Linked DNA regions of Callithrix jacchus. The main gene of each other region encodes a partner of the protein of the gene in region 2 in a complex. Links are inferred from orthologs where the notes say so. Each region holds a gene or a part of one and is shown on either strand. Other genes may lie near its edges. The genes, in order: SPIN1 and SPINDOC.

Region 1 (15,236 bases), on a different chromosome or scaffold from region 2:
CCACAATGCAAGTCATTAAGTAATGCTAGAAATGTCTCAATTGACCCAACCCTCAAGATACTTCGACACGAACTTTATGTTTCCACCCAAAGTTACTGAGCCAAGTGCTGCACAGTCCATGCATGCTGGACACACTCGCAAATTCTTGCACTGCAATGTCAGTCTGGACTCTGGGAGCCAGGCTCAGCTTTGAGATTTACATGCAGGGACTTTTAAGAGTCAACAGGAAAACACATAGTAGATCTGCAGAATAACACCTGTTCACACAAAAGAGAAGCACCTATGACTTGGGTATCACACTGCTTTCAAAAGCTTGTCCCTGGCTGCCCAAGGTGAAGCAACAGGGACAGAGCGACTGTAGCTGTGGACAGAAAACTGAGGTACTGTGTTTACATGGTGAGTGGTCGTTACCATCCAACAGCACAAGGCACAAAAAATGGGCATCAAGCAAACCATGCATAATGAGGCCTGGAAACCATCAAGAACAGCCACAACAGAGGCCACTTGGATCTCTGATTCAAACTTCTGGTGTCTGAGTGACAAGCATACAAGTTTCGGCTCTGCCCAAATAACAGGGAGGATTTCCAATCTCCACAAGAGACTGGTTTTACATATGGCCTTTCTCCTGGCTGTCAAACCACCAGGGTTCCTCCAAAACAAAGTGAGAGCCGTTGTTTCACTGACCAATCAATCACACTTGCAGTTCTATTTCAGTTTAGAACAACCTTTCAAGAAGAAACGATGTAAAGACCGTGGCAAAGGGCTGCTATTACTTACACCCACCAAGCGAACACAAATGGCTGACTCTTCCATGGTAACGCATCACTGACATGCAAACCCCAAGGGGCCACTGAATAGAATGAATCCACATTAACAGCACACCTGGAGCAGAAACATGCACCCCACATAAGGTGTCAAGAGACCAAGCTGCTATTTGTCTAGACATTCTCTGTGAGGAAAAGCCAGGGGGTAGGGGGAAGGGGTGGAGCAGAAGTTTCCAACCATAATCATACATTAGCAATAATAGTAATAAAAATTTTAAAGTCCCAGAGAGCTTGTTAGAAGGCAATAATGCCACTCAAAACTTAAACTTCCAATATAAAAAGATTGTATTCCTCCAGAAACTTACCAAAAACACACAAACCAGTGACGTATTGTTGCCTTTTAAATCCATGTACTGAAATCCAGATTACTGATTTGTACAAACAACAGACCATACATGCTGTCCAAAATACACCTACATGACACTGTGTGGAACAAGGACCTGGGCTTTGCTAAAAAAAATTATGATTAAAATGTAACTAAAAAAACTCAAAGCTTAGAATTAAAGGTAGCCTTTTACCCAGATTTCTCACCAGATTGTAAACTCCTAATGTGGGTCATTAACTGTTCACAAGTAATTCTCATTTGAACTTACAGTTTAAGGGCTCCAGACTAAAAAGGTGCTCTGAACTTCTGATTTTTTTGAAACAAGCTGAATGTTTCTATATGCTTCCTGTGCCCAAATTTTAATTTTAAATAAAGAGCAGTAATATCATAACCATGACTGACTTGGGTAAAGCACTCCTGTTAAATTGAAGAAAATTATGTCACCCCCATCCCAATCCCACAAAGAAAAGACTGCAGTGGGGTATGTGTGCGTGTATGTGTGTGTGCGTGATATCTATGTGTATATATTATATATGTATACACACATATAGATATAGGTAGATACGGATACATATATCTCAAAAAAGGCGATAACGAAAACACCAAACTATGCTTGCATTGTGGCGGCAGAATAAGAGTGTTAGGGTAAAGGGGAAATGATTAAGATCTATTACAATTTTAAATGACTATGATACTAGCTTAACTTTTATCAAACTTGCCTGTAACTCCCCTCCAAATAGACAGACTTCTTTTAAGAGAAAGGAGTTCTCCTTACACAAAATGCTTTGTGTTCACATCAATCTGTACTATTCAGAATAAAACCAGTTCTGCTGGCAGAGATTGTGGGTTCGCAGGGACATTTAAGCTTTCATTAAACTGGAAAGCAATCAAGTCTTTATGTCTACAAATAATACATTTCACAGTTCCACAAATTTGGCAGTTTGTGATGACATCTAGGATGTTTTCACCAAATCGTAGACATAAATATGGAAATCATCATCAAACTTGATGAAATAGACGGAGGGCTTGGCTTCTACTTGATGAATGACCATGCCAGTCCTTTTCGAGCCATCTTCTTTGGCATATTCCACTTGTTTGCCTACCAGGCTGTCCACAACTTCTCCTGGTTCCCTTTCTGCTGGAGGTGAATCATCTATATTAAAAAAGAAAAAAAGAGAGAGAAAATTTTAAAATCAATTTTTAGATATAAATCAACTAACATATTTTCTTTCAGACAGAGTTTCACTCTTGCTGCCCAGACTAGAGTGCAATGGCGCAATCTCAGCTCACCACAACCTCCGCCTCCTGGGTTCAAATGACTCTCCTGCCTCAGCCTCCCAAGTAGCTGGGATTACAGGCATGTGCCACCATGCCCAGCTAATTTTGTATTTTTAGTAGAGATGGGGTTTCTTCATGATGGTAAGGCAGGTCTTGAACTCCCGACCTCAGGTGATCTACCCACCTTGGCCTCCCAAGAAATCAACTCACATATTTATTTTCATAATTTAAAAAAAATCTAAATACCCTAAATTGATGATTATCTAGACCAGGAGTCAGCAAACTTTTTCTTACAAGGCCACACAGTAAATATTTCAGGCTTAAGGGTATGTGGTCTCTGTCCCAACTGTTCAACTCTGCCACTGTAGCATGAAAGCAGCCACTGATAATATGTATATAAATGGGTGTGGTTGTGTTCCAATGAAACTTTTTCCATAAAAATAGTTTGCCGACCCCAATCTAGATATATGAACAATTTTGAAAATCATATCCCAAAATTCTTTTGGTCCATGTTTAATTTGTAGCTGTAATTAACTCAAAGTAAGTCTGAGTGGCTTTGAAATATAATTTGAAGGCAGACAATTCCTACAGGGATTACTGAGAATATGGTATACATTTAAAATGCCTAAGTACCATAGGTTGTAGTCTGTGAATCCTTAAATCTTCTTATCCCTCAACTTTACGGCATTTCACATCATCTTCCTCAGATTCGAAATTTAAAAAAATTTTCCACGCTTTAAAAATTGGTGTTGAATGAACTTCAGCCCAGGCCAAGTACAAGGGAATCTCTGAGGATGGCCCAGGAATCTGTACTATCTAAAAGGTCCCCAAAGTTGGCAGGGTGTGGTGGCTCATGCCTGTAATCACAGCACTTTGGGAGGCAGAGGCGGGCAGGAGATCTACACCATCCTGGCCAAAGTGGTGAAACCCCTTCTCTACTAAATACAAAAATTAGCTGGGCATGCTAGCGCATGCCTGTGATCCCAGCTACTCGGGAAGCCGAGGCAGGAGAATCGCTTGAACCTGGGAGGCAGAGGTTACAGTGAGAGGAGATTGCACCAATGTTAATGCACTGCCTCTGGCCTACAACAAAACACACAGAAACAGCAAACCACTACCAACAACAAAATACAAAGTAAAAGAAAAAAGGAGGGATAAAGGTAGGCAATTATACTTCTGTTTTTTAAAAAATTGCATGGGTTCTGAAAAACTCAAAGCTCTTTTCCTTGTAGTAATCTTCAGATAGGGCAACCAGGGTTGCAGCTGCTTAAGATGGTTCATGTCATACTGGCACAATTGGTAGTAATGCCATTTTACTCTCACAAGTATCCTGATGTGAACCATATAAATGTATATGTATTAACAGTTGTCTGACTCTTTGGTTACAATAAATTCTCTCACTGAATGATAATCCAAAAAGTGCGACTGTGATCTCTGGTACTAAGAATCACAAGCAATAAAAATAAAACACCTGAGCATAATCAGCTCTTTAAAAAGTAATAAAGAAATATAAGCTAAACTTCTTTCTTTAAAAATTCTCTTCCCTTAAGCAGTATCATCATACTGCCATATTTTTGTGGCACTTTTGTGTTTAAGAAGGAATTACAAATACACGATCACATGTGAATTTTATAGTAACTGAGCTAACCAAGAGACTCATGTAGAGTCCCGTTTTATCATCAGAGCAGGTAGTTGAACAAGATCCTTTCAGAACTCATTAGATCAGAACATGACCACTGTTTCTAAAGGTAAATAAGCTTCCACAGCACACTCGCAATACGTATGAGTTTGGACAATTAAAGGAGTGGAAAGATCAAAAAGTGGTTAGGAAAAGCGATGGGAGAACTGCAAATGCCCTTGTATTTCCTATGATTAGGTTAACAGTACTTGCTTGACTAGGTATTTATCTATTAAAAAATGTTCAAGTAACCTCACACAGGTTGGAAAAATGCTTTTTAAAGGAACATTCTCATGATGAATTCTTTAGTATATAAATAATTTGTATTACCTCTTTATTACCCCTTTATACACAATTTTTTTCTTAAAGACTGAGTCTGGCTGTCTCCTAGGCAGCAGTATAGTGGCATGACCTCGGCTCACTGTAACCTCTGCCTCCTGGGTTCAAGCGATTCTCCTGCCTCAGCCTCCAGAGTATCTGGCACTACAGGCGTGTGCCACCACACCTGACTAATTTTTTATTTTTAGTAGAGACGGGGTTTCACCACGTTGGCCAGGATGGTCTCCAACTCCTGACCTCAGATGATCCAACCGCCTTGGCATCCCAAAATGTTGGGATTACAGGCATGAGCCACCACACCCAGCTCACAAATCTTAAAAATATATATATATAAGAAGTAGAAATTCAAGACCAGATGAACAAATTAGTAAGTTCATTAACTGACTTCTTCAGAGGAGAAACTTAAACAAAAAAGGAATAGAGATGACTGTCACATGGCTGATGCATGAAGGGTCTACTAGTTACATTTACATCTGTCCAAAGCAAGAGATTCCTGTGTGTGAAGGCCGTCGAGTAGTTTTTAAAAGAATGAGCTTATCTAAAAGTGAAATTAAGAAAACAGTTCAATTCATATGTATAACAGCATCAAAAAAAACAAAATCCTAAGAAGTGAATTTAATAAAAGAAATGCGAGGCCAGGTGCTGTGGCTCATACCTGTAATCCCAGCGCTTGGGAGGCCGAAGTGGATAGATCACCTGAGGTCAGGAGTTCGAGACCAGCCTGCCCAAAATAGCGAAACATTGCTACTAAAAATACAAAAATTGGCCAGGCCTGGTGGCAGACACCTGTAATCCCAGCTACTCAGGAGGCTGGGGCAGGAGAATCATTTGAACCCAGGTGGAGGAGGTTACAGTCAGCTGAGATCGCACCATTGTACTCCAGCCTAGGCAACAAGAGTGAAACTCCTTCTCACAAAAAAAAAAAAAAAAAAAAAAAGAAAAGGAAAACAAAACAAAAAATGTTTTCAAAGTGTTGCAATCAATCAGTGAAAAAACACCCCATGCTCATGGATTAGAAGACTTGTTAACATTAAGAGGGCAATGCTCTTTCAAACTCATCTACAAATTCAACATAGTCTCCATCAGAATCCCAGGTGACTTCTTTGTTCTGACAAGTTGATTCTAAAATTGATACGAAATTGAAAGAGATCCAGAATAGCCAAAGCAATCCTGAAAAAGAAAGCAGGGGCCTGGCGCAGTGGCTCGCACCTGTAATCCCAGCACTTTGGGAGGCTGAGATTACAAGGCAAAACCCTGTCTCTATGAAAAATACTAAAGTTAGCCGAGCGTTATGGTGCATGCCTGTAATCCCAGTTCCCTGGGAGGTGGAGGCTGCAGTAAGCTGAGATTGTGCCACTGCATTCCAGCCTGGGCAATGGAGTGAGACTGTCTCAAAAAGAGGAGGGAAAAAAAGCAGGACTCAAAAGTCTTGACTTCAAACTCATTACAAAGCAATGTAATCAAGACAATGCAGCACTGGTATAGTGACAGACATACAAATTAACGGAATAAAACTGAGAGCCCAGAAAAACACCCACGTATCTGTGGTCAACTGATTTTCAATAAAGGTGCCAAAAACATTCAATGGGGGAAAGAACAGTCTTTTCAAAAAATGGTGCTAAGACAATTGAATAGGCATCACATGCAAAAAAAATGGAAGCTGGACCTTTATCTTGAACCTCAGACAAAAATTAACTCAAAAATGCATCAAAGACCTATATTTAAGAGCGAAAACTATAAAACTCTTAGAAGAAAACAAGTGTAAATCTTCATTCCCTCAGATTTCGCAAAAAAGATTCTTAGGACACAAAAAGCACACTAAGCAAGAGAAAACGTAACTTGAACTTCAAAGTTTAAAACTTTTGTAGCCTCAAAGATCATCATCAGGAAAGCAAAAACAGATCCCATGGAATGGGAGAAAATATTTGCAACCTATATCCGATAAGGGTCTTATTATGTAAAAAAAAAAAATTATCACAATGCAATAATGAAAGACAGATAATCCAATTTAAAAATGGGCAGGGGCTATGAATAAATATTTCACCATAAATGATAAAAATAGGGCCAATAGGCTGGGTGCAGTGGCTTACCCCTGTAAACCCAGCACTTTGAGAGGCCAAGGCAGGTGGCTCACTTGAGGAGCCAGCAATTTCATACCCAGGTAGAATAAAACCAAAGGAAAGAAAACATGTCCATACAGAAACCTGTACACAAATGTTTACAGCAGCATTATTCATAACAACCAAGAGATGGGAAACAACTCCAATGTCCTTTATTGGATAAACTGGCTAATCAAAATGTAGTATATCTATACAATGGAATCATATTTGGCCAATAAAAGGAATGAAGTACTGATATACGCTACAGCGTGGATGAAATCTGAAAACATGCTAAGTGAAAAGAAAGTAGCACAAAGGACCTCCCACCATATAGTCCATTCATATGAAAGTCCACAACAGGGAAAATGACACAGCAAGTATTATTGGTTCCTTAAGGCTAGGAGGAAGACAGGTTGAAGGAATAAAGGACTGATACCTAACAGATACAAGGTTTTCTTTCGAGGTTATGAAAACGTTTTAAAATTGACTATGGTGAGGACTGTACCTATCTGTGCATGTATTAAAAAGCACAGAATTGCACAATTTAAATGGACTAACTGTATGGTCTAGAAGAAATTCTAACATGGTGGGGCACGGTGGCTCACACCTGTAATCCAAACACTTTGGGAGGCCAAGGCTGGCGGACTGCCTGAGCTCAGGAGTTCGTGACCACCCTGGGCAACATGGTGAAAACCTGTCTCTACTTACTTACACACACACACACACACACACACACACACACACACAGAGAGCCAGGTATGGTGATAGGCACCAGGCTGTTCCAGCTACTTAGGAGACTTGATTCAGCCTGGTTGGGGAGGGAAAGGAGGGGTTGCAGTGAGCCAAGACCATACCACTATATTCCAGCCTGGGCGACAGAGCAAGACTCTGTCTCAAAACAAAAACAACAATGACAACAACTAAAGAAATAACAGAATAAAGCTTTTCTAGGCCTAATGAAATTAGCCCAGGTACATCCTTTTCTACCGTCCCTTCACGAACAGACTACTTGTGGAAATAGCTAAAATGATTTGTCTCAACACTGACTCTGTACTTCAGTTGCTACAGAAAAGCTCCCCCAATTAGCTGTTTTCTAAAACTGATGTTCTCTAAATCAGGAGTCCCCAATACCTGGGCCACGCCACACAGCAGGAGGTGAGCAGGAGCAAAGAGAGCACTACCATCTGAATTCTACCTCCTGTCAGATCAGCAGGGCATCAGCTTCTCATAGGAGTGCAAACCTTATTGTGAACTGCGCATGTTAAGAATCTAGGTTGCGTGTTTCTTGTGGGAATCTAATGACTCCAAAACCACCATCTCTATATCCAACCCCCAATCCATGGAAAAACTGTCTTCTACAAAAGTAGTTGGTCCCTGGTGCCAAAAAAGGCTGAAAACTGCTGCTCTGAAGTTCAAGTATTTATAGATAAAATAATCAATGTCTTGGGGCTAGCTTCAAAATAATTACATTGGGGGGACTACCAGATAAAACTAGATAGGCAATGAGACAGTAACTGTTAAAGCTGAGCAGGGGTACATAGGGACGTGTTTTATTGTTCCCTATTCCATCATGTTTTTAAATAAAAGTAAGTAACATGTAGTAGTGTTAACAATTATAAAACAACTTGTATTTTATTATAGAAGCCAAGCAGAACTAATTATCAAACATTTTCTTAACTGAAATTCATGACAAGATGAAAAATTTCAAAGCCTGTGTTTGTGTATGACTAAAAGAATAATTATATATCCAAAAATAAAAATGTATCTGCAAAATAGCCAATCAAATATCTTGTACTAAAATCCAAATCCCTTTTGAATTATCCAAAATAAAAGTTGCCAATATATACTTACTGGAATCAGGCATAATGCGAAGGTCGCCTTCTTTGTAATCATCTAAGAGCTGGTACATATACAAGACAGGGTCTTTCTCATAGGTAATGTAAAACCATGTGTTCATAACAGGTGCACGTGCTAAGACCATTCCCCTCCATTCGTCTTTAGAACCATCCTCTGTCTCAAACATATGTTCCACTGCTTTGCCAATCATTGTGTCTGCCAAATGTGCATCGCTGATTCGAGATGTTGCTGGGGATTTAAAAAATAAAAGTTGACAAACTGATTACTGCCTATGAAGACTGAATTTACTAAAGAAGACTATCTGAAATTTTGTCCATGCAATGTATTAGCAAGCATCAGAAATCTGTGAAGGCTTTCAGAAGTACAAAAACCCAACACAAACTACTGGGCCCCAGCTCAGAGTTGAATTCAACAGGAATAGAAGTATTTTGTCACAAGTCAGTGAATTGAAAAAAATATGATTTAAAAAAAAAATCTTCTGGACTCGTCTGCTCTTGGTTCTGTACCCACATCACAAGTGTTAATTGTTCATTCAAGGTATAAAATATATTTTTTTATTGTTTACTTAAATTTTGAGATAACTTCAGACTTAGAGAAGAATTACATAAATAGTAGAGTTCCTGTATATAGTTCACCTTGCTTTTCCTGTATTAGCATCTCACATGACCACAGAACATTTATTTAAAACTTAGAAATGAACCTAATCAAGGCACAAGTTTTTTTTTTTTTTATTTTAAAGAAACTGGTGTTTGTTTTCCTTTAGTCTTGTTTCCATTTTTTATTAAGGCATAGGTTTTACTCTTGCTCCTACAATCTTATTCTCCACTGAAACCAAAGTAATCACTGTGTCACTGATACCAGATTGTGTGATTTACAATGTTCCCACACCTTATCTTTATAATTTGAAAAACAACCAAACTGCTCACTATGGCCCCCAAGCCCTAAGCCATCACGCCTCTGCCCTCAAGTTTTGCCATCTGCTTCCTCACTGCCCATACCTCCTCTACTCTGCTCTTCTCCCTCTCCCATTAGAACACACTCTCCTCTGCCTGTTAAAAAGCTCTTCCTCACACCTTCAGAAGGCCAGTTCCTCTTGGGGTTCTCCTGACCAACAAGGTGAAGGTAGCCCTACCAATCCGTCACATTACTACTCAGTTTTACTTTTAATAACATTCACCATGATCTAAAGTTATCCCACTTTATGTATCTGTGGTACTTGTATGTTGCTGGTATATCCCCATGAAAACTGAGACCTTCCCTTTCTTCTTTTATACCTAGATCACAGCAGGTCAATATTTGTTGTATGATTTAATCAGATGTCCGGTGTAACCAGGGCTCAGGTATCTGTAATAAGAGATTAACAGTCCTTGCCCTTAATACTTTTCAAAAGTGGGTAAAAATTATCATCTTTGTCTTTTTAATACTAGAAAAATTATAAAGGATCCTACTGGTTTTAAGGTTTCTCCAGTCAACAATTTTAGATAATTGTCTTTACCTAAAATATACACAATTGTCTTTAAAAAAAAAAAAATTGAGACAGGCGCGGTGGCTCACACCTGTAATCCTAGCACTTTGGGAGGCCAAGGCGGGCGAATCACTTGAGCCCAAAAGTTTGAGACCAGCCTAGGCAACATGACAAAATCCCGTCTCTACTAAAAATACAAAAAATTAGCCAGGTGTGGCGGTGCAGGCCTGTAGTCCCAGCTACTCAGGAAGCCAAGGTCGTAAATCACCTAAACCCAGAAGCCGAGGCTGCAGCCAAGATGGCGGCACTGCACTCTAGCCTGGGCTACAGGAGTGAGACCCTGTGTTAACAACAAAAAACAATTAGCACTCCTATTTTCCTCATTCATCAGACTTCTATTTCTATTAAATCAAAAGAAACAAGTTAGATTTTCTTCACAAATGTATTGCTATTAATTTTATCAGCATACTCTAAACCTATATGGTTGGTTTTCTTTAAGTGTGCAGTAATAATAAAAAATTACAAATTCCCTCTGTGCGTGACACTAAAAAAGAACCCCACTAGTTTCTTAAAGCTAGTAGCTCTCAGACTACTAGATCTCAGAACTGTATTTGCATTCTTAAAAACTACTGGCTGGGCACAGTGGCTCACACCTATAATCCTAGCACTTGGAGGCCCAGACAGGAGGATTGCTTGAGGCCAGGAGTTTGAGACCAGCCTGGGCAACATAATGAGATCTCATCTCTACAAAAATTAAATATTAGCAGGGTATCATGATGTGTGCCTGTAGCCTCAGCTACTCAATAGACTGAGGCAGGAGGATTACTTGAGACCAAGGTGTTGAGACAGCAGTGAGCCATGATATTCCCGCCTGGGTGACAAAGCGAGACCCTGTCTCCAAAAACATAATTTAAAAGTAAATAGAAATTACTAAAGACCTAAAAAAGCCATTTGTTTACACAGACAATTCCTACCAATACTTACTATTTCAAAAAATAAAAAACAAATCCAGAAACGTTTATTTTAAAATATCTGTATAACAATGTAATTTAAATTAAAAGTAACTATTTCCTATCAAAATACGGTAAGAAGAGTGGCATAATTTTACATTTTTGCAAATCTCCTAATTGTCTAGGTTTCAAAAAGAACAACTAGATTCTCATATCTGTTTTAGTGCTCAATCTGTTATGATCTGTTCTTTTGATGTATAAAATCCAGTTTTACAAAGTTATGATGCTGAAAAAGGAGAGTATTCTGTCTTTCAGTAATTCTAGATAGTCTTATATGAAACTACAAAATTCAACAGCTAACTCTTTAAAAATTAGTTACAATGTAGAATCTGAAACCATTAATAAATTTGTCATACTCTTACATTGAAACTCATGCCTCCAGAACACATAAAGAACTCTCACAACTCAAAACCAAAAATCAAATAACCTGATTAAAAAATGGTCAAAGGACTTAAATAGATATTTCCCCAAAGATGATATACAAGTGGCCAACAAGCACATGAAAAGATGTTCAACATCACTAATCATCAGAGAAATGCAAATCAAAACCAAATGAGGTATCACCTCACACCCATGAGCATGACCACTATGACAACAACAGTAAATAACAACTGCTGACTAAGGGATGGCGAACGGGAACCCTCGTGTACTGCTGGCGGGACTGGAAAATGGTACAACTGCTGTGGAAAACGGTATGGTAGTTCTACCTAAGAAATTAGAATTATGATATTAAAAATAAAATTGTAATTACCATATGATCCAGCAATCCCATGTGCCTATAACCAAAACCATCGAAAGCAGGATCTCAAAGAAACATCTGCATACCCATGTCTACAGCAGCACTATTCACAATTTTATATTCTACCAAGAGGTAGAAGCAATCCAAATGTTCCTTAATGGGTAAACAGATAAACTGTGGTATAGAGATACAATGGAATGTTCTCTTCAGCCTTAAAAGGGAAGGAAATCCTGTCACACATTGCAACTTGGATGAACTTTGAGGACATTATGCTAAGTAAGTTATTCACAAAACAAATATGTATGATTCCACTTCTATATCCAGAGTAGTCAAATTTATAGAGACAGAGTGTAGAACGGTGATTGCCAGGGGTTGGGAATGGGAAGAAAGGCACACTGTTTTGTTTAATAGGTAGATTTTCAGATTTGCAAAATGAAAAAGTTCTGGAGATCTGTTTCAACAATGTGAATGTACTTAACACTACTGAACTGTACACTTAAAAATAGTTAGGACAGGGCCGGGCGCGGTGGCTCAAGCCTGTAATCCCAGCACTTTGGGAGGCCGAGGTGGGTGGATCACGAGGTCAAGAGATTGAGACCATCCTGGTCAACATGGTGAAACCCCGTCTCTACTAAAAATACAAAAAATTAGCTGGGCATGGTGGCGCGTGCCTGTAATCCCAGCTACTCAGGAGGCTGAGGCAGGAGAACTGCCTGAACCCAGGAGGTGGAGGTTGCGGTGAGCCAAGATCACGCCACTGCACTCCAGCCTGGGGTAATAAGAGTGAAACTCCGTCTCAAAAAAAAAAAAAAAGGTTAGGACAGTAAATTTTATGATACACATTTTTTTTTACAATTGAAAAGTAGTTAGTCTTGCACTTTTTACAGCTCTACCACCAGTGCATGATCTGGTACTATGCATTGCTCATAAAGAAAATTTTGTGTTCACTAAGTTATGCAAATCTTCCAAATAGCTAGTGGGAAACTCCACTGTGTAACTGAGGAAAAAGAGAGAGTGAAAAGTGCAAATTACAACTTATCAATATGAAAATATCTCTGACCGTGCAAATCTCCTGAATGGGCTTCAGAGAACCCAAGGGTCCCCGGACTTTGCTTTGGGAACCACTGCTCTGTGACATCACATGCATTTTGGCTGACTGACATTTTTCTCCAACTTTAGCTTAAGAAAAACATAATTTTAATTATACTCTAATATACTACCTGAAGCAAATTTCTTCCTATGTAAAGCATAGGTGAAAAGCAAGTAATTTTTTAGACTAAAGTAGGTTGATGCAAAAGTAACTACTGTTTTGGCCATGACTTTCAATGGCAAAAACTGCAATTACTTTTGCACCAACCATAATACAGTGAGTACTAAAATTAATAGCAACTATTAGCTGAATTAGGCATATATATTGCTGATTTACATAGAAGCTCTTGGATTTCTTTTTAAATTGCTTTATTGTTTACAAAATCAATATTGTTGGAAACAGATAATCCCAAACTACAAACAACATGGAACCCTTAATACCATCACCAGATACTTGCACAGTTTCTATCCTTCAATGACAAAAAGACTAACAGCCACAGGTCACGCATCAATATGCAGGAACCTTCAAGTGAGCTATTTGTCTTGTCTCAGAAGGGGCAGAGGCTAAAATTCTGCTGTTAAAATTCTTAATGTGTTAAAGTTTCTTATGTGAGAAATGGATTAACGTTATGATCAAGAAGAAATGTAGATGTACATCAAGAGGAAGAGCAGGTACTCAGTCACACTTAAGAACAGATGAGAATGTTGAAAATAACAGATTTAATATCACCGTTAGGAGTAATAATAAAGATTTATATTTAAAGAAAGATTTCTTTGAAAACTGAACCATATTTATGCAGATGAACAAAGATTTCGGATTTGATATCTAAATAGAAGATTAACAAAATAACTTGCTACTATGGCAGAATTAACTTGCTAGGGAAACTGTTATATCCCAGGAATACAATGGCACAATCTGAAGAAAAACAAAGTGAGGAAACTCAATTAATTTCTTCCCGTGAAATCTGATCCCAAAATTCCTACCTCCAAAGTCTAGATCTGCTGAAGCTTTATTATTTAATGGTATAGACTATTAAAGACAATTCTCAAAGTACAAACCAGTATTTTAAACAAGAGCAGCATCACTGTAATAAGAAAATATTTCAAAATAAATACTGCAAAAAAGTAATAATTTGGGTGTATCCCACCCTACTAAAAAATAAAGTCAGTAATTATCATTTACCTTAGACCTTACGTCTTAAGGAACATTTGTAAGGCAAAACTGGCACTACATGACATTTTAAAAGAGCCATTCATCCCCACAAATACTGTTCAAATAAGCTCTGTGTACAATAAAGATCACGTTTTGGTTGCTTATATTTTGGCTCCAAGTACAATTCTCATTTACATTGTATACAATCAAAGATACACTTTCACATATAGACTGTAAAGTAAATGCACATTCTCTTAGCTTTTGTATCTGATGAGATCAACACACAGGAGATCTGAGCTACTGATAACCTTACCCACCAGAGTCCAGAGAACAGTGAGCAAAAACGTTAGAATAACTGTATTATAAATTATTAAGTTGCAAACTTCTTGGGGGAGGGGGAATACACATCTCTATATCCCCTACACAGTTCCTTGAATTGCTTTGGATCCATTTTTTGTGGTTGTCAGTGATTTAATATAATGTTTATTAGGAGGGGTGCTTGTGTTTCAATAAAAGTGAAAGTATTAATAATATAAAATGATAAAAAAGCATCCATTTTCAATATCATTTTTAAAGCATATAATGCACAAATAGTAAAAAGAACTTACCAACTCTATCAGGGAGGACTTCAAGCGCAGAAACTCTTTCATCTTTATTAAGTTCTAGTCCATAAACACAGTCAAATCCATCGTATTTTATAAGATACAAAGAAGGATTTACAGGCACCTGGTCCAGAACGGTTCCTTTCCACTGGGTAACAGGGCCATTCCCCTCTTTCCACCCGTGCTGAATCCTGCAGCCTACGATGTTCCGCCGGGGCTGGGAAACAGGTTTGCTCGGCCCCACACTGCTCCGATGTTTTCTGCATTCACACATATACAGACATAAGGTATTATCTCAAAAGTATGCAGGTCTAGATCTAACATAACGGGCTAATACGCTCTCATTACAGATGGTCCCAAAATCTGTACAAACTCGTTTGCCACATTCCTGCTTCAGATGACTCAAGGTGGTTATCTCTACCCATGTACCAGTGGTGGTGAGTGTGTAACATGGTATGTTAGTAATAGGAACTTGTTGTGTACCTCAACTGTATACAGACAGGGGCAAAAAAAACCTACTAGTCAATAGCAACTTAAGCCCTACCATTAATCATCAGGTCCTCAGCTTTCTGAGTTTAATTCAATCAACTCAAAATTATCTAAGTTGATTAAAGAAGCAGAAGGGCTGACCCATGAAATACATTTTACCAATAATCACACAGGTATATAGCTTTACATAATATGAATCCATTTCAAGTTAAAAAGAAATGTATGGTTATTCAATTTAACCCACTCTAGTGCCCACCTTATTCTGCCTGTACAGGCTTAAACAAAAATA
Region 2 (15,830 bases):
ACACACAAAATGGTCTAGTTCTGTCAGGTCTGAGGCCTGCCTTGAGATCAGAAAAAGGGGGACCCAAATAACAGATAAAAGCAACTACAGACAGACAGACAGACACACACACACACACGCGCGTGCGTGCGCGCGTCCGCGTGCGCAGCTGTCTAGCTCTGTTGCCCAGGCTGGAGTGCAGTGGTACAATCTGATTGGAGCACAATCAGAATTTACTCAAACTCCTGGGCTCAAGTGACCCTCTTGCCTTAGTCTCTAGCCTTAGTAAGGACTTTTAAAACTTTCTAGGCCAGGCGTGGTGGCTCATGCCTGTAATCCCAAGGCCGAGGCGGGTGGATCACGAGGTCAAGAGATCGAGACCATCCTGGTCAACATGGTGAAACCCCGTCTCTACTAAAAATACAAAAATTAGCTGGGCATGGTGGCGTGGACCTGTAGTCCTAGGTACTCGGGAGGCTGAGGCAGGAGAATTGCTTGAACCCAGGAGGCGGAGGTTGTGGTGAGCCGAGATCGTGCCATTGCACTCCAGCCTGGGTAACAAGAGTGAAACTCCATCTCAAAACAACGGTGAGCCGAGATCGTGCCATTGCACATCAGCCTGGGTAACAAGAGTGAAACTCCATCTCAAAACAAACAAACAAACAAACAAAAAAAAAAACTTTCTATAGAGAAGGAGTCTCCTCCTTATGTTGCCCAGATTGGTCTGGAACTTGAGCCTCAGGCAATCTTCCCACCATGCGACCCAAAGTGCTGGGATAATAAGTGTGCGCTACTGTGCCTAGCCAAGGATTTTTTTCTTTATGCAAAAAAGCACACCTGTCACCCCAGAACTTTGGGAGGCCTAGGTGGGAGGACTGCTTGAACCCAGGAGTTCAAGACCAGCTTGTTGTGCAACATAGGGAAAACCTGTCTCTACAAGAAATTTAAAAATTAGCCTGGCATGGAGAGGCACATCTGTGGTCCTAGCTACTCAGGAAGCTCTGGCAGGAAGACTGCTTGAGCCTGGGAGTTTGAGGCTGCAGTGAGCTATGATGGTACCACTGCACTCTAGCCTGGGCAGAGATCCTGTCTCAAAAAACAAAGAGCACACCTGCTTTCTGAGAGCCCTACTCTCAGGAGAACCTCCGGCCACCCCGTTGGCCATCATTCTATTGCTCTAATTCCAAACACACATTTCAGACAAGCTGGTACAAGGAACCATGCACTCCTGACCCATTCACTTCTTCAAGAAGCATTTCCTGAGTGCCTGTAAACTATGCTTGGCATGGAGAGGTGAACAGAGGACCTAGGCTTGGTCTCTGCCTGCTGGACTACATTCCAGTCTCATCCTAATTCTGCTTGTTGGGTCACATGAGTGTGGTTGGCAGAATGATGCCCCTCACCCCCCACCAGATAGTCATGTCCTAATCCCTGGAACCTGTGAGTTGAATGTTTTGTTACATGGCAAAGGGCAATGAAGGCTACAGATGAAATTAGGGTTGTTCATCAGCAGACTAAAAGAGAGATGATCCGGCCAGGCGCAGTGGTTCAAGCCTGTAATCCCAGCACTTTGGGAGGCCAAGGCGGGTGGATCACGAGGTCAAGAGATTGAGACCATCCTGGTCAACATGGTGAAATCCCGTCTCTACTAAAAATATAAAAAATTAGCTGGGCATGGTGGTGCACGCCTGTAGTCCCAGCTACTCAGGAGGCTGAGGTGGGAAAATTGCCTGAACCCAGGAGGCGGAGGTTGTGGTGAGCCGAGATCACGCCACTGCACTCCAGCCTGGGTAACAAGAGCGAAACTCTGTCTCAAAAAAAAAAAAAAAAGAGATGATCCTGGACTGAGTGAGCCCTATATAATCATGAAGGTCCTTGAATGGGGAAGAGGCAGATGAGCTGGAACCAGGGCAGTATCTGAGAAAGACTGGCCATTGCTGGCTTTGAAGATGGAAGGCCACAAGCCAAGACATGCAGGCAGCCTCTAGAAGCTGGGCAAGGCAAGAAAGTAGATTTTCCCCTAGAGCTTCCACGAAGAAACACAGCCCTGCCAACACCTTGATTTTAGCTCAGTGAGACCCATTTTGGACCTCTGACTTCCAGAACTGTAAAATAATGTGTGTTATGTTTTGTTTTTAGAGAGGGTCTCGCTCAGTCGTCCAGGCTGGAGTGCAGTGGTGTGCTCGTAGCTCACTGCAGCCTTGAACTCCTGGATCAAACAATCCTCCTGTCTCAGCTTCCCAAGTGGCTGGGACTACAGGCACAAGCTATGTGTGTTGTTTTAAGCCATTATATTTGCGTGATTTGTTACAGCAGCAAACAGGAAACTGACATAAGGATCACGAAGAAGAAGAAACCATTTCTTTGAGAAATGGTTTTCCCATTTGGAAAAAGGAATGGACATCTGCCCTTCTATACAAGCTATTTTTATAAGGACCAATAAACCATATACGGTAAACTTCTTTTGGAGACAGAGTCTCACTCTGTCACCCAGGCTGAAGTGCAGTGGCGCGACCTTGGCTCACTGCAAACTCTACCTCCCAGGTGCAAGCAATTCTCCTGCCTTAGCCTCCTGAGTAGCTGGGATTACAGGCGCCTGCCACCGTACCCAGCTAATTTTTATATTTTCAGTAGAGATGGGGTTCACCATGTTGGCCAGGCTGGTCTCGAAATCCTGACCTCTTGATCTGCCTCCCTCAGCCTCCCAAAGTGCTGGGATTACAGCCATGAACCACCACGCCTGGCCTGTATGTAAGCTTCTTAAACTTAGTAGGGCACTGAACACGACAAGCACTTACTGCTATTACCAGGCAATTTACTGAGCTGGTATCCCCTGGAGGTGTCTGTTCACTGTTCATCCCATCTATTCTCTGGACGTTTAAGAGAACTGCTGAGCAGCCCCATCTGGGCCTCTGCTCCAACAGAGCATCTCTCATACTCTAGCTAGAACAACTGTATATGTGGAAATCAGCTTCTGGGAAACGGCCTACCCTGACCCAATGACCAATTCCAGAAAACTCCTAAGGAACACTAAGAAAAGCTCAGCTGGTTGGGCGTGGTGGCTCACACCTGTAATCCTAGCACATTGGGAGGCTGAGGAGGGTGGACTGCCTGAGCTCAGGAATTCAAGACCAGCCTGGGCAATATGGCGAAACTGTCTCTACTAAAAATACAAAAAATTACTCAGGTGTGGTGGCATGCACTAGTCCCAGCTACTGAGGAGGCCAAGGCAGGAGAATTGCTCGAACCTGGAATTGGAGGTTGCAGTGAAACCAAATCACACCACCGCACTCCAGCCTGGGCAACAGAGCAAGACTGCCTCAAAAAATAAAAAAATAGGCCAAGCACAGTGGTTCACGCCTGTAATCCCACCACTTTGGGAGGCCGAGGTGGGTGGATTTGGCCAACATGGCCAAACCCCATCTCTACTAAAAATGTAAAAATTAGCCAGGCGTGGTGGCACCTGCCTGTAATCCCAGCTACTGGGAGGCCGAGGCAGGAGAATTGCTTCAACCTGGGAGGCAGACGTTGCAGTGGGCTGAGATTGTGCCACTATATACCAGCCTGGGTGACACAGCAAGATGCTATCTCAAAAAACAAACAATAATAATTTTTTTTTTTTTAAAAGAAAAACTCAACTCTCAGGTCAGCCTCCCTCATCATTCAGATCCCCCTGCCTCTGGCCCCGTGTCCCAGGAAACCTGAGCACCACCTACCCGATACTGGGCTCCGCCACAGAGTAGCCTTGCTGAGGCCCGGCCCAGGGGTACTGCCTGTGAGGTCCCCACCGTGCCTCTTGCTGCGGAGGGCTTACCTGGAGAGGGGCTCTCTTCCCGGGGAAGGGCTTCCTCTGCCGCTTCCCCATCTTTGGGTGGGTCCTTGCTGTCTGGGCCCCTGAGCTGGGTGTGGGAGAAGAGCTGCAGGACAAAGCCAGCGGGGAAGCTGCCATCAGTGAAGTGTCGGACCTCTGCTGGTGCTGCAAAAGTCTCCGTGGGTGAGTCTGGTGATGGAGGCTCTGGAAGGGAAGACAGGATGGAACTGTGAGTGAAAATGCTTCAGGGGAGCTGCAGGCGCCCAGTGCCCGGGCCCTGGTCCATCCTCACTGATGTGGATCTCCGTGGAGCCCTGCAAGCAGAGCCCATACCTCCCTTGAGCCTCCCCTTCACCTGGGTCAGGGTCCAGGTTTTTGGTCATAGGTCTGCCTCTTTTCTTCCTGACTGGCTCTTCCCCTGCGGGCTCCTTCCATCTCTGACCACGTGGCTTCTTATTTCCTGGCTCTGTGGCAGGGACAGCTGTGAAAAGAAAAGACCTCATACCTTCTTTAAGAGGCCATCCCCCAACCCTGCCACCCCAGGGCTCCCAAAGATTCCTGCCCAGAACACAGGATCTGTACTTCACCGTGTCCCCAAACCCCCACCTCCACTCCACCGGGGCTCACTGGCTTCCCCGTTAACTAACCAGGAAGCTCGAGGGGGCGAAGTCCCCTGGGACGGCTCCTTTTAGGGAGAGATGGGTTATCCTCAGAGTCGAGGAGCACGACGATTTCAGCTGGCACTCTGGCAGGGTCTGGGTTGGAGTCTGGGTCTGGATGGGCATCCTGGCCTGAGTCTGCAGGGGGCAAGGGCACAGTGAGCTTCTAGTGTCTCAGCAAGTCCACCTTCTCCCTTCACCCACCCCAGGCCCAACTACCTGAGTGGGGTGGGGATGGCTGCTCAGCCCTGACGTCTTGCAGGAGGGCCACCCCTTCACTCCAGGCCTCCAGGATGTTGCTCTTCTCGGAAGGGCTCAGGTCCAGGGTGTGAGGATGCTGCTCCAAGATGTGCGAGCGCGCCGTGTCGGCCGAGGGTGCCCGGATCTCAGCACCACACACCATGCACAGTGCCCGCCCGCTGCCTCCAGGGCTGCTGCCCACCAGGAATTCCTGCTCCCAAGACACCTGTTGCTTGGGTTCCTCACAGCTATCACTGCCTGCCTCCAGTGGGCTGGATCTAGGTGGCGGGGTCTTCTCCTGTTGGGTCACTGCGAGGGGAGATGCGGAGGGTGTTATCACTAAAGGTGCCCGCCACCGACAATACTTAGCACAGCTCCAGACTCAGAGGTCTGAGTGGGGTGGGGCGGGGGGACAGCATTTCTGTCCAGACTGTTCTTCTTCCTTCCCCTGGAGTCCATGAGGCACACATCACACTAAACACAGCCAGTGTGCCCAGGATCCCACTCCCCTTGCCTACTCTTGGGCCTTAGGACTACACATACTTTTCCAACAGCCACGTTCTTGCTGGTCTCCAGCCTTTGTACATTTGTCCAGACCACCCTGACTGAGCTGGGTGACACCATCCCTGAGAAGCCTTCCAAGACCCCACTCCTAACAACAGATCTCATCCAAATCTGACTTCTACGCTTTGTGAGAAAAGTAAATTTTTTTAATTAAAAATTTTTATTTATTTATTTTGAGACAGAGTCTCACTTTGTCTCCAGGCTGGAGTACAATGGTGCAGTCTCAGCTCATTGCAGCCTTGACCTCCTGGGTTCAAACGATCCTCCTTCCTCAGCCCCCACAAAGCAGCTGGAACTGTAGGTGAGCACCACCATGCCTGGCTAATAATTTTTTGTGTGTTTCTTTTTTTTTTCTGAGACAGAGTTTCGCTCGTTACCCAGGCTGGAGTGCAATGCTGCGATCTCGGCTTACCGCAACCTCCGCCTCCTGGGTTCAGGCAATTCTCCTGCCTCAGCCTCCTAAGTAGCTGGGATTATAGGCACGTGCCACCATGCCCAGCTAATTTTTTGTATTTTTAGTAGAGACGAGGTTTCACCATGTTGACCAGGATGGTCTTGATCTCTTGATCCACCCGCCTCAGCCTCCCAAAGTGCTGGGATTACAGGCTTGAGCCACCGTGCCCGGCCTGTTTGTGTTTTTAAGAAATGGTCTGGTCTCACTTTGTTGCCCAGGCTGGAGTACAGTGGTGCTATCACAGCTCACTGCTGCCTCTAACTCCTGGGCTGAAGGGACCCTCCATCCTCAGCCACCTGAGTAGTTAGGACTACAGATGCACACTATCATGCCTATCTAATTAAACCTAAAAAAAAAAAATTAGCCAGGCGTGGTGGCAAGCGCCTGTAGTCCCAGCTACTCTGGAAGCTGAGGCGGGAGAAGCGCTTGAACCCAGGAGGCGGAGGTTGCAGTGAGCCGAGATGGGATCTTGTTATGTTGCCCATAGTAACAGGCTGGTCTTGAAGTGGGCTCAAGCAATCCTCCTGTCTCAGCCTCCCAAGGTGCTGGGATTACAGGCACAAGCCACCGTGCCCAGCCCAGAACAGTATATTTTATCATCTTACTAAGGGCCACCCCATCCCCTCAGAACCCTCCCCTCAGTGCTCACACATTTACAGCTGCAGTCTCACTCCTGTTGTCTGATACCTGCTCTTTGTGCAGACAGACCATAAGCTCTCACAGGGCACCAGCCCTTTCCAGTTCAGCAAAGGTAGCCTAAGAACTGCATCAGCCTGGAGGCTCAGTGCTTTGACGAAGTGCCCATGATCCCTCAGGGCTGCATCTCTCTCCTACCTTCCAGAGAGGACGAGACAAAATTAAAACACCTGGAGGCTGCATGGAAGAGGCGGCATTAGAAATAAATAGGAGCCTCGGCTTGCATGGATACAAGAGGTGGTGGCTGAAATAGAGACTAGACATGTCTTATACCCATCTCTCACGTGACCATGGGCAGAAAACCTGACCTGTCAGTTGCCATCAGCTTTCTTCCCTACTAGTTCTCCCAAGCAGCTCTCATCCACGTCAGCAGTGCTAAACCCGGTGACCAGTTTTTCAACGTCAGCCTCTGCTGATCACCTCTTCCATCTTGATTTGCATCACTTGCGTCCGGGGAATGACCTTTTGTTGGTTCTTCTTTTACTTCCCTGGCACTCCTTCTAAGTCACGTGTGCTGGTTCTTCCTCGTCTCTTCTCAATATTCCCTCCCTTCCTCCAGGTTGTTGCTGAAGAACTATCTCCCCATCTAGACCACTCCATTCCCCTTACGCAGCATTTCCAACCCAGCACGCGTCACCACCCGGCACCTGTTTGGGGGATGTTCACTGCCTGTCTCCTCACCACCATAGAATACAGGACCACACAGATTTCTGATGTTTTGCATCTGGATCTCCAGCACCAAGAACAGCAGTACCTGGCATGTAGTGGCATTTAGTAATTGTGAGGATGGACTGACTCGGTCTACAACCTGCCATCACTGGAGTTTCCCAGGACTCAGTCCTTGAACATTTTTTTTTTTTTTTGAGACGGAGTCTTATCTCTGTCACCCAGGCTGGAGTGCAGTGGCTCAATCTTGGCTTACTGCAACCATCACCTCCCAGGTTCAAGCGATTCTCCTGCCTCATCCTCCTGAGTAGCTGGGATTACAGGCGTGCACCACCATGTCTGGCTAATTTTTGTATTTTTGGTAGAGGCGGGGCTTCACCATTTTGACCAGGCTGGTCTCAAACTCCTGACCTCAGGTAATCCACTCACCTAGGCCACCCAAAGTGCTGGGATTACAGGCATGAGCCATTGCACTGGGCCTTCGGTCCTTGGACACTTGTGTCTACTTCCTTCTGATGCCACTGCCTGCCTGCTGGCAATTTCCTTGACACCACCAGCCAGATACTTCCAGGAAATTTAGGCTCCTGTATCTGACTGTTTAGTGACCTCTCTACCTGAATATGTCATAAATAGCATGTCAAACTTAATCATATTTAAACGCTCACTTCCAATCTCCCATGAGTACTGCAACCTTCCCCATCTCAGAAAATAGGAAGGCTGTTTCTCCAGTTGCTCAGGCCAAAAACCTTGAATTCAATCTCTCTTCGCCTCCCCGCTGAAATCTTTGCAGAAGCGTGTGCTGCTGGACCTCTGCACTTGCTACTTGGCCTGAAATGCTCTTCCTCCAGGTATCAGCAAAGTTGGCCATCCTCACTTCCTTCGGGTCTGTGCTCAAAATTCACCTTATTAGAGAAGCCTTTCTGAACCACTCGATATACCAAATTGAATACCCATTCCCCCTTTTTCTCCTCGTCCTGCTCTAGTGATCTCTGAACGACTTATCGCCACCTAACATCCTATACAGGAACCTATGTATTTGTCTTCAGCCATTGGCATATATGTGTTCTTCAAGAGCAAGGTTTCGGCTGCTCTGTTGACTGCCACTGCTGCTTCCCAGCCTAAAACAGTAGCCTCAACAGCCTAAAGCAGATACCCAGTGAATACTGGTTGCATGAATTCACCTGTCTATTCCCACCCTAACAGTGGGCATAAGGCAATCTTTGCAGAGTGGAGAGGATTAACTGAGACAGCCTCTAACAATGCCCAGTGAACACTCAACAAATATTAGCAGCAGAAGTAGGAAAATAACCTAACTAAATGCTCCGAGGAGAGAGGTGACCTTTATTTCCCTCATTGATTTTATAACCCTTCCAGTTCCAAAAAGGATGAGAGGCAGTGCAGACAGACAGCATTCGGTTGGGCTGAAGTTTAAAGAATGGCCTTGGGGCTTTCAACCTCTTTTGGGTACTATCCCCCCCCTAAGAAAAGTGGGACTGAAGAATGGAAAGATATTTGCATTTTCACGCATATTAAGTTTTTCCCACAAACATGGCTCTTGGTTTTCTGACGGTCTGCAAGCTCCTGAGGACTAAAGAAATCGGTGAAGGGGGAGGGGAGAGCGAACGTTCTCAAACTGTTTCTCCCGTCCCCTCCCAAAGCGAAGCTCACTCTGGCACTGCACTGCTTTCCCAAACTAGGTGTCGTATGCAGTCCCATGCAGCCCTTCTCTCCAGAACCTGACACCTGTGGCTCGTGCAAATGGAAGGCTCGGGAATGCGATGAAGCGGGGTGCTGGGCAGGAAAGCGTTGTGCTTGGAGAGTCTTTAAATTCTATTGGAGGTCGGCAGCGGCGCGCGCCTCCAGCCTCGGGCCTAGAGGCCTCGCCGCCCCTCAGCCTAGAACACAGCCGGGCCGTGGTGCTGGCCTCCGCCTCTCAGGCGATGAGACGGCGGCCACCCAGCACCTCTGGGGATCCGGCCTCCGGTGCTGGGCCCGGGAGAGGGGGCGCTCGGGCACCGGAAGATCCGGAGCGTGCGGGGCGTGGATCGATGTCTCCAGACCCCGGACGGGGGGAGGGGGAGGGGGAGCGAGGGGAAATTGAGGAGGCCTGAGCTTCCAAACCAAGGTGGGGGAGGTGCGAGAGCGCGCCCTGGACCCACAACCGAGGGGAGGCTGCGCCCCAGGCTGAAGGGGGTGAGAAGATACCCAGGTCTCAGACCCCGACTGGGGAAGGGCGGCCCCGCACCGTGACGCGGAAGTGGGGTCCCCTCCATCCTCACCTCTGAGCATCGGCTCAGGCCGCGGAATTACGGCCACCACCATGGCCTCCTCCTCGTCCTCCCCTTCCTCGCATTTGAGCGTCACCTCAAAGCAGTCGAGTGCGGCGCCCTCGGCCTTTACGGCCATCGTGCGGCCGTGGGCGAAAGCGGTGGCCGGAGGACGGGCGCGCAGGCTTCGGCGCGCAGCTGGCGGCCGCCTCAAGCCTCCCGCCCGGAACAGCCCCCTCCCCGCCACTCGCCGGCCGAACTTGCCACCGGCGCGTCCGGGCCTCCCCGAGACCTCGGCGCGTCGGGAGCCCGGGCGGGGAGGGCTCAATCAGGGCTCAATCCGGGGCCCCTGCCCCCTGCCGCTCCCTTTTATGGAGGCTCATTGTCAGCTCCCGCCCGGCCGGCCCGCCGCGGGCCCGCCCCCGGCCCCGCGCGGCCAATCGCGCGCGGCCCCGCCCCGGGCACGCGGCCCCGTTAGAATCCCTGGACCCGGGAGGCGGCGGGAAGGGCTGAGCGGACCCGGGGCCGTCTTGTTCGCAGAGTCTGAGGGGCTCCCAGATTCCCCCAGCGCGGGCGCCTGAGTCGGCTGGCCGAGCCTGGGGTTCTCTGTCCATTGAGAAACCGATTGGGCGTTTCTGCTGGCGTGGAGAGCGCTACCAGGTGCCCCCAGTTTTTGAAGGGGGTTCGCTTTTGCCTTTCCGTGGACCAGCCTTTCTCCGCCAGCAGATGCCCCGCGCAGGGAGAGAGCCGGTGGGGGAGTGGAAAGGGCCTGGGCTTGGAAGCGTGGAGACCGAATTCCTTCTCAACTGCCAGCTCTGTGACCGTGGGCACGTTATCTGTTTTGTTAGACCAGCTCATCCTTTCAAAAACCATTTTGGACCCTCTGGGAAGGCAAAGAAGAGGAGCGGAGTGGACTGTGGGCGGACGCAGACCACCCTGGATGGGTATGAGTTCCATTTTTTAAACGTGAGTCCAGAGATTTTGTGACCCTCTCCAAGGACACACAGCAATCCCTTGAGAGCCCCAAGACCAGAGATTAGTTGCTATGAAATTGCTGAGCTACAACCATACTCTGGGTGAGCTTTTACTTCTGTGACATAGAATGTGCATCTTCCTTTTCTATAGCAGCCCTCATGAGATTTCAGCTCAGAAAATGCAAAATGTCTGACACTGAAAATCCATCTTTAAATGTGGTTATATCAGACCAGATACAGTAGTATTCAGAAACGTGTAGTCGGATGGGGGTGGGAGAAGAAGTGTGAACTAGGCTATTTGGATTGCAGTGTGTGTGTGTGTGTGTGTATATATATACACACATATGCATGTACATGTATACCCATATAGATGCATATATATACACACATATATATGCATATATGTATATATACACATATACATATATGTGTGTATATATATATATATATATTTTTTTTTTTTTTTTTGAGACAGAGCCTTGCTGTGTTGCCAGGCTGTAGTGCAGTGGCTCCATCTTGGCTCACTGCAACCTCTGCCTCCCGGTTTCAAGTGATTCTCCTGCCTCAGCCTCCCGAGTAGCTGGGACTACAGGTGCCCACCACCACACCCAGATAACTTTTGTATTTTTAGTAAAGACAGGGTTTCACCATGTTAGGCAGGATGGTCTCGATCTCATGACCTCGTGATCCACCCACCTTGGCCTCCCAAAGTGCTGGGATTACAAGCATGAGCCACCCCGCCGGGCCGGACTGCAGTATATTTTTAAATGAATTATTTTGTTACATACAAGTGTTTTCGGTATTTTAAAGGTTTTACAAATAAAGGTATTACTAAACCTGTTTATTTCTATTAGTCATTCTCTACCATTTGCCACAGATGCCTTCCTTGCCCCTCTGCTCTGCTCTGTATTGCAGGGGGCTGAATCTTGTATTGGGCAGTTTCTCAGTCTCCCAGAGCATCTGGCCTCGGGCCTCAGTTTGGCCAGTGAGAGGCAGTGGCAGGAGAGGAGAAGGCAGGAGGAAAGAAAAAGCCAGGGTATTTCTTCTCTTTGTCTCTCTTGCTCAGGCTGAGGCACATCTCCAGCAGCAGAGGAGGCCTCTCTGTGGCTCCAGCTCATGGACAGGGAGCTGAGGTCCCAACATCTGTAGGGTGATCCATGCCCCTGGGCTCCATCTAGGCCAGCTCCTCTGTTTGTCCCTTCAGGTTAGGAGTGGTGGGCAGCTTCTTGCTTTTGCTAATCTCTGTACTGCCTCTTTCTGTCCCCTGCTGGGCTTCCCAGACCTTCCATTACCCCTGTTTGTTTGTTTGTTTGTTTGAGTCTTGCTCTGTTGCCCAGGCTGGAGTGCAGTGGCATGATCTCAGCTCACTGCAGCCTTGGCCTCCTGGGTCCAAGTGGTTCCCCTGCCTAAGACTCCCTAGCAGCCGGGACTACAGGTGCGCACCACCACCACCCTGCTAATTTTTTGTATTTTTAGTAGAGATGGGTTTCACCATGTTGTCCACACTGGCCATTACCCCTATTAACCATGTCACCACAACCCTGCATTACATTCTGTTTTCAATACTTAAAGTGGTTCCCTCCTGGCAGGGCACAGTGGCTCACACCTATAATCCCAGCACTTTGGGAGACTGAGGCAGGTGGATCCCTTGAGGTCAGGAGTTTGAGACCAGCCTGGCCAACAAGGCGAAACCCCATCTCTACTAAAAAACAAAACAAAAAATAATGGTGGCTCACGCCTGTAATCCCAGCACTTTAGGAGGCCAAGGCAGGTGAATCACCTGAGGTCAGGAGTTCAAGACTAGCCTGACCAAATGAAGAAACCCCATCTCTACTAAAAATACAAGATTAGCTGAGCTTGGTGGCACTTGCCCGTAATCCCAGCTACTCAGGAGGCTGAGTCAGGAGGATTGCTTGATCCCAGGAGGCGCAGGTTGCAGTGAGCTGAAATCGTGCCACTGCAGTCCACCATGAGAGATGAGAGCTATATTCTGTCTCAAAAAAAAAAGTGGTTCCTATTTTCCTGGTTGAACCTTGAGTGATACAGTATTGTACCACCCAATTAGTAGACATTTTTTCTTTTAAGTCATATTATTCTCAGCTTATAGAACAGGAAGTTGAAGCTTAAAGGGTTAGATTACTTGCCCAAGGTAATACTGCAAGAATCTTATTTCATTAAGCCTAAGGTGACTATTTCCCCCATATTTTAATATCCCCCAAATGGGGATGCTTTCTGTAATTGACATCAGTGTGAAGTTTAGGAATATCAAGAAAGTGAAAGATGCCTTTTCTGGCATTCAGACTGTACTGTTACCAGCAGAACGTAAGCTATGTTTTTAGAATGAGACATAGATGAGGCCACTTCATGACCACAAAGTGACTTCACTTCCCCTTTTTTTTTTTTTTTTGAGACGGAGTTTTGCTCTTGTTACCCAGGCTGGAGTGCAATGGCGCAATCTCGGCTCACCGCAACCTCCGCCTTCTGGGTTTAGGCAATTCTCCTGCCTCAGCCTCCTGAGTAGCTGGGATTACAGGCACGCGCCACCATGCCCAGCTAATTTTTTGTATCTTTAGTAGAGACGGGGTTTCACCATGTTGACCAGGATGGTCTCGATATCTTGACCTCGTGATCCACCCGCCTCGGCCTCCCAAAGTGCTGGGACTACAGGCTTGAGCCACCGCGCCCGGCCTTTTTTTTTTTTTTTTTGAGATGGAGTCATGCTCTGTCGCCAGGCTGGAGTGTAGTGGCATGATCTTGGCTCACTGCAACCTCCGCCTCCTGGGTTCGAGCAATTCTCCTACCTCAGCCTCCCTAGTAGCTGGGACTACAGGTGTGTGCCACCACGCCCAGCTAATCTTTGTATTTTTAGTAGAGACGGGGTTTCACCATGTTGGTCAAACTGGTCTCGAACTCCTGACCTCGTGATCCGCCTGTCTCCATCTCCTAAAGTTATGGGATTACAGGCGTGAGCCGCCATGCCTGGCTGATGTCCTAGATTTAATGAAACGTGGGTAGTTGCTAAGGTAGGACCCAACCCTGGTTCTGTCTATCCCGTCCTTGCTCTTAACACTACAATGCGTAGATAAAGAAACCACATCAAACAACACGCACGTCACAGAAGCAAATCAGTCTGCCTGCAAAGACAGGCCTTCTTCCTTGCATGCTTGCTCTGCTGAGTAAACCCTCTGTGCTGAGCTATGAGGGAAGACTCCAGACCATCGTCAGTGGAGTTATTAGGAATTCTGGGAATTCCCCTCCACTGGCTACATAGCTACATAGTAAGTGCCAAATTAAGAATTTTTTTTTTTTGAGGCAGAGTCTAGCTCTGTCATCCAGGCTGGAGTGCAGTGGTGAAATCAGAGCTCACCACAGCCTCGAACTCCTGGGCTCAAGCGATCCTCCTGCCTCAGCCTCCCAAAGCGCTGGGATTACAAGTGTTAGTCGCTGTGCCTGGCCAAGAATTGGAATTTATTTATTTATTTAATTTATCATTGTTATTATTATTTGAGATGGAGTCTTGCTCTTTCACCCAGGCTGGAGTGCATTGGTGTGATCTCCGCTCACAGCAACCTCTGCCTCCTGAGTTTAAACAATTCTCCTGCCTCAGCCTCCTGAGTAGCTGGGATACAGCTGTGTGCCACCATGCCTGACTAATTTTTGTATTTTTAGTAGGAGACAGGGTTTCTTCATGTTGGCCAGGCAGGTCTGGAACTCCTGACCTCAGGTTATCTGCCCTCCTGGGCCTCCCAAAGTGCTGGGATTACAGGTGTGAGCCACCACCGGCCCTATTTTGTATTTTAATAGACGGGGTTTCCCTGTGTAGCTCAGGCTGCTCTCAAACTCCTAGGCTTAAGTGGTCCTTCTACCTCAACTTCCCAAAGTACTGGGATTATAGGCGTTAGCTGCCACACCCAGCAGGGAATCTTAATTGTTGAGACTGACCCCTGTGTAGGAGAGAAGACAGACCCTTATTAGATAAATTACCTCTTTTGACTTAGTGAATTTGGCCTTAAGACATGAGATTCCTGGGACAGGGCAGAACAGACCGGAAACAGGAGAGAGGAGAACCAATGGCTTCTGTTCCAACAAATAGTTGCTCCCGGCCACTCCCCCATAGTGTCCCCTAGGCTGGGGGCAAAGCTTTTCCTTTTGGCACAGCTTTTATTGTTGGTAGCACTTTAGGATCCCAGTGACAAGCTGGGACAGCGAGTGGACTGCCTCAAGTGGGGATAGCTGTGGGGATATTGAAATAGGGTAGATACTGAAGCTAGTGGACTAGACCCAGCTCCAAATGAGGAGAGGGCTGTCTGAAGGGTACGTAAGGGCGGGGGCCTTCACTCTTAACTGGCTTGGCATTTAGTAGCGGTCTTCAGCAAAAGCCATAATAAATATATAGCCATGATCTTCGGCTCAGTAATCCTAATGCCAACTTAGCCTAAAGTCATCCAAAAGAAGAAAAATAATGACCTACTAACAATGTCGGTATCAGTTTCCCACTTGAATTCTTCAGTCCCTAAAATTTAGCACTCCTCGGTGAAATTGTATTCAGTTGGTGCATGTGGTCAGAAGTGTGTCTCTTGGCCCCATATCCTTTGAAACACCACTTTTTTTTTTCTTTGAGACGGAGTCTCACTCTGTCGCCAGGGCTGGAGTGCAGTGATGAGATCTTGGCTCACTGTAACCTCTGCCTCATGGATTCAAGTGATTCTCCTGCCTTAGCCGCCTGAGTAGCTGCTGGGATTACAGTCACCCACCACTACATCTAGCTAATTTTTTGTATTTTTGGTACAGACGGGGTTTCACCGTGTTGGCCAGGCTGGTCTTGAACTTCGGACTTTGTAATTTGCCTACCTTGGCCTCTGAAAGTGCTGGGATTACAGGCATGAGTCACTGTGCTTGGCGGGAACACCACTGTTATGAAATTGGCATGCCGTGCTATAATTTTTTTTTGCAGGTCCATTTTTTGTCCATCTTTATTGTTTCGGCATAAGCCCAGAATCTGTGGTGTTAGCACCAACTCAGTGGCCACACTAGAATTCTTGTTGCAAAACTCTCAATCTAAACTAGCTTAAGGCCGGGCGTGGTGGCTCGCGCCTGTAATCCAAGCAGTTTGGGAGGCCAAGGCAGGTGGATCACAGGAGGCCAGGAGTTCGAGACCAGCCTGGCCAACAAGACAAAACCTCATCCTTATTAAAAATACAAAAAGTAAGGCCAGGCGTGGTGGCTCCCACCTGTAATCCCAACACTTTGGGAGGTGGGAGGTGGGAGGATCACCTCAGGTCAGGAGTTTGAGACTGACCTCAGGTGATCTCCTGACCAACATAAAGAAATCCCATCTCTACTAAAAATACAAAATTAGCTGGGCGTAGTGGCGCACGCCTGTAATCCCAGCTACTCAGGAGGCTGAAGCAGGAGAATTGTTGAACCCAGGAGGCGAAGGTTATGGTGAGCCGAGATCTCGCCATTGCACTCCAGCATGGGCAATAGGAGCAACACTCCGTCTCAAGAAAAAAAACACAA

The links.
Region 1: the proteins of SPINDOC (region 2) and SPIN1 are in contact, whole or in part, in a crystal structure (PDB 7CNA), measured with the Homo sapiens proteins. The link is inferred for Callithrix jacchus from reciprocal best matches to the Homo sapiens genes SPINDOC and SPIN1. Residues at the interface, in NP_612480.1 of Homo sapiens: Phe256, Ala258, Pro259, Ala260, Val262, His264, Phe265, Thr266, Asp267, Ser269, Phe270, Pro271, Gly273, Phe274, Val275, Leu276, Gln277, Leu278, Phe279, Ser280; in NP_006708.2 of Homo sapiens: Met154, Thr169, Tyr170, Glu171, Pro174, Pro206, Val209, Val210, Leu213, Lys216, Gln217, Val218, Glu219, Tyr220, Thr229, Val232, Val242, Tyr243, Ile245, Phe247, Asp249, Asp250, Tyr254, Val255, Tyr256, Asp257, Leu258, Val259, Lys260, Thr261.

Annotation. Positions count from the first base shown.
Region 1 is NC_133502.1:72,369,270-72,384,505, reverse strand, and holds part of SPIN1 (spindlin-1), read right to left. Parts: intron 14,719-15,236; coding exon 14,465-14,718; intron 8,629-14,464; coding exon 8,395-8,628; intron 2,303-8,394; coding exon 2,103-2,302; 3' UTR 1-2,102. UniProt on the Homo sapiens protein: Chromatin reader that specifically recognizes and binds histone H3 both trimethylated at 'Lys-4' and 'Lys-9' (H3K4me3K9me3) and is involved in piRNA-mediated retrotransposon silencing during spermatogenesis.
Region 2 is NC_133511.1:120,855,278-120,871,107, reverse strand, and holds the start of SPINDOC (spindlin interactor and repressor of chromatin-binding protein), read right to left. Parts: upstream 9,679-15,830; 5' UTR 9,476-9,678; coding exon 9,349-9,475; intron 4,999-9,348; coding exon 4,669-4,998; intron 4,588-4,668; coding exon 4,438-4,587; intron 4,272-4,437; coding exon 4,146-4,271; intron 3,995-4,145; coding exon 3,794-3,994; intron 1-3,793. UniProt on the Homo sapiens protein: Chromatin protein that stabilizes SPIN1 and enhances its association with histone H3 trimethylated at both 'Lys-4' and 'Lys-9' (H3K4me3K9me3).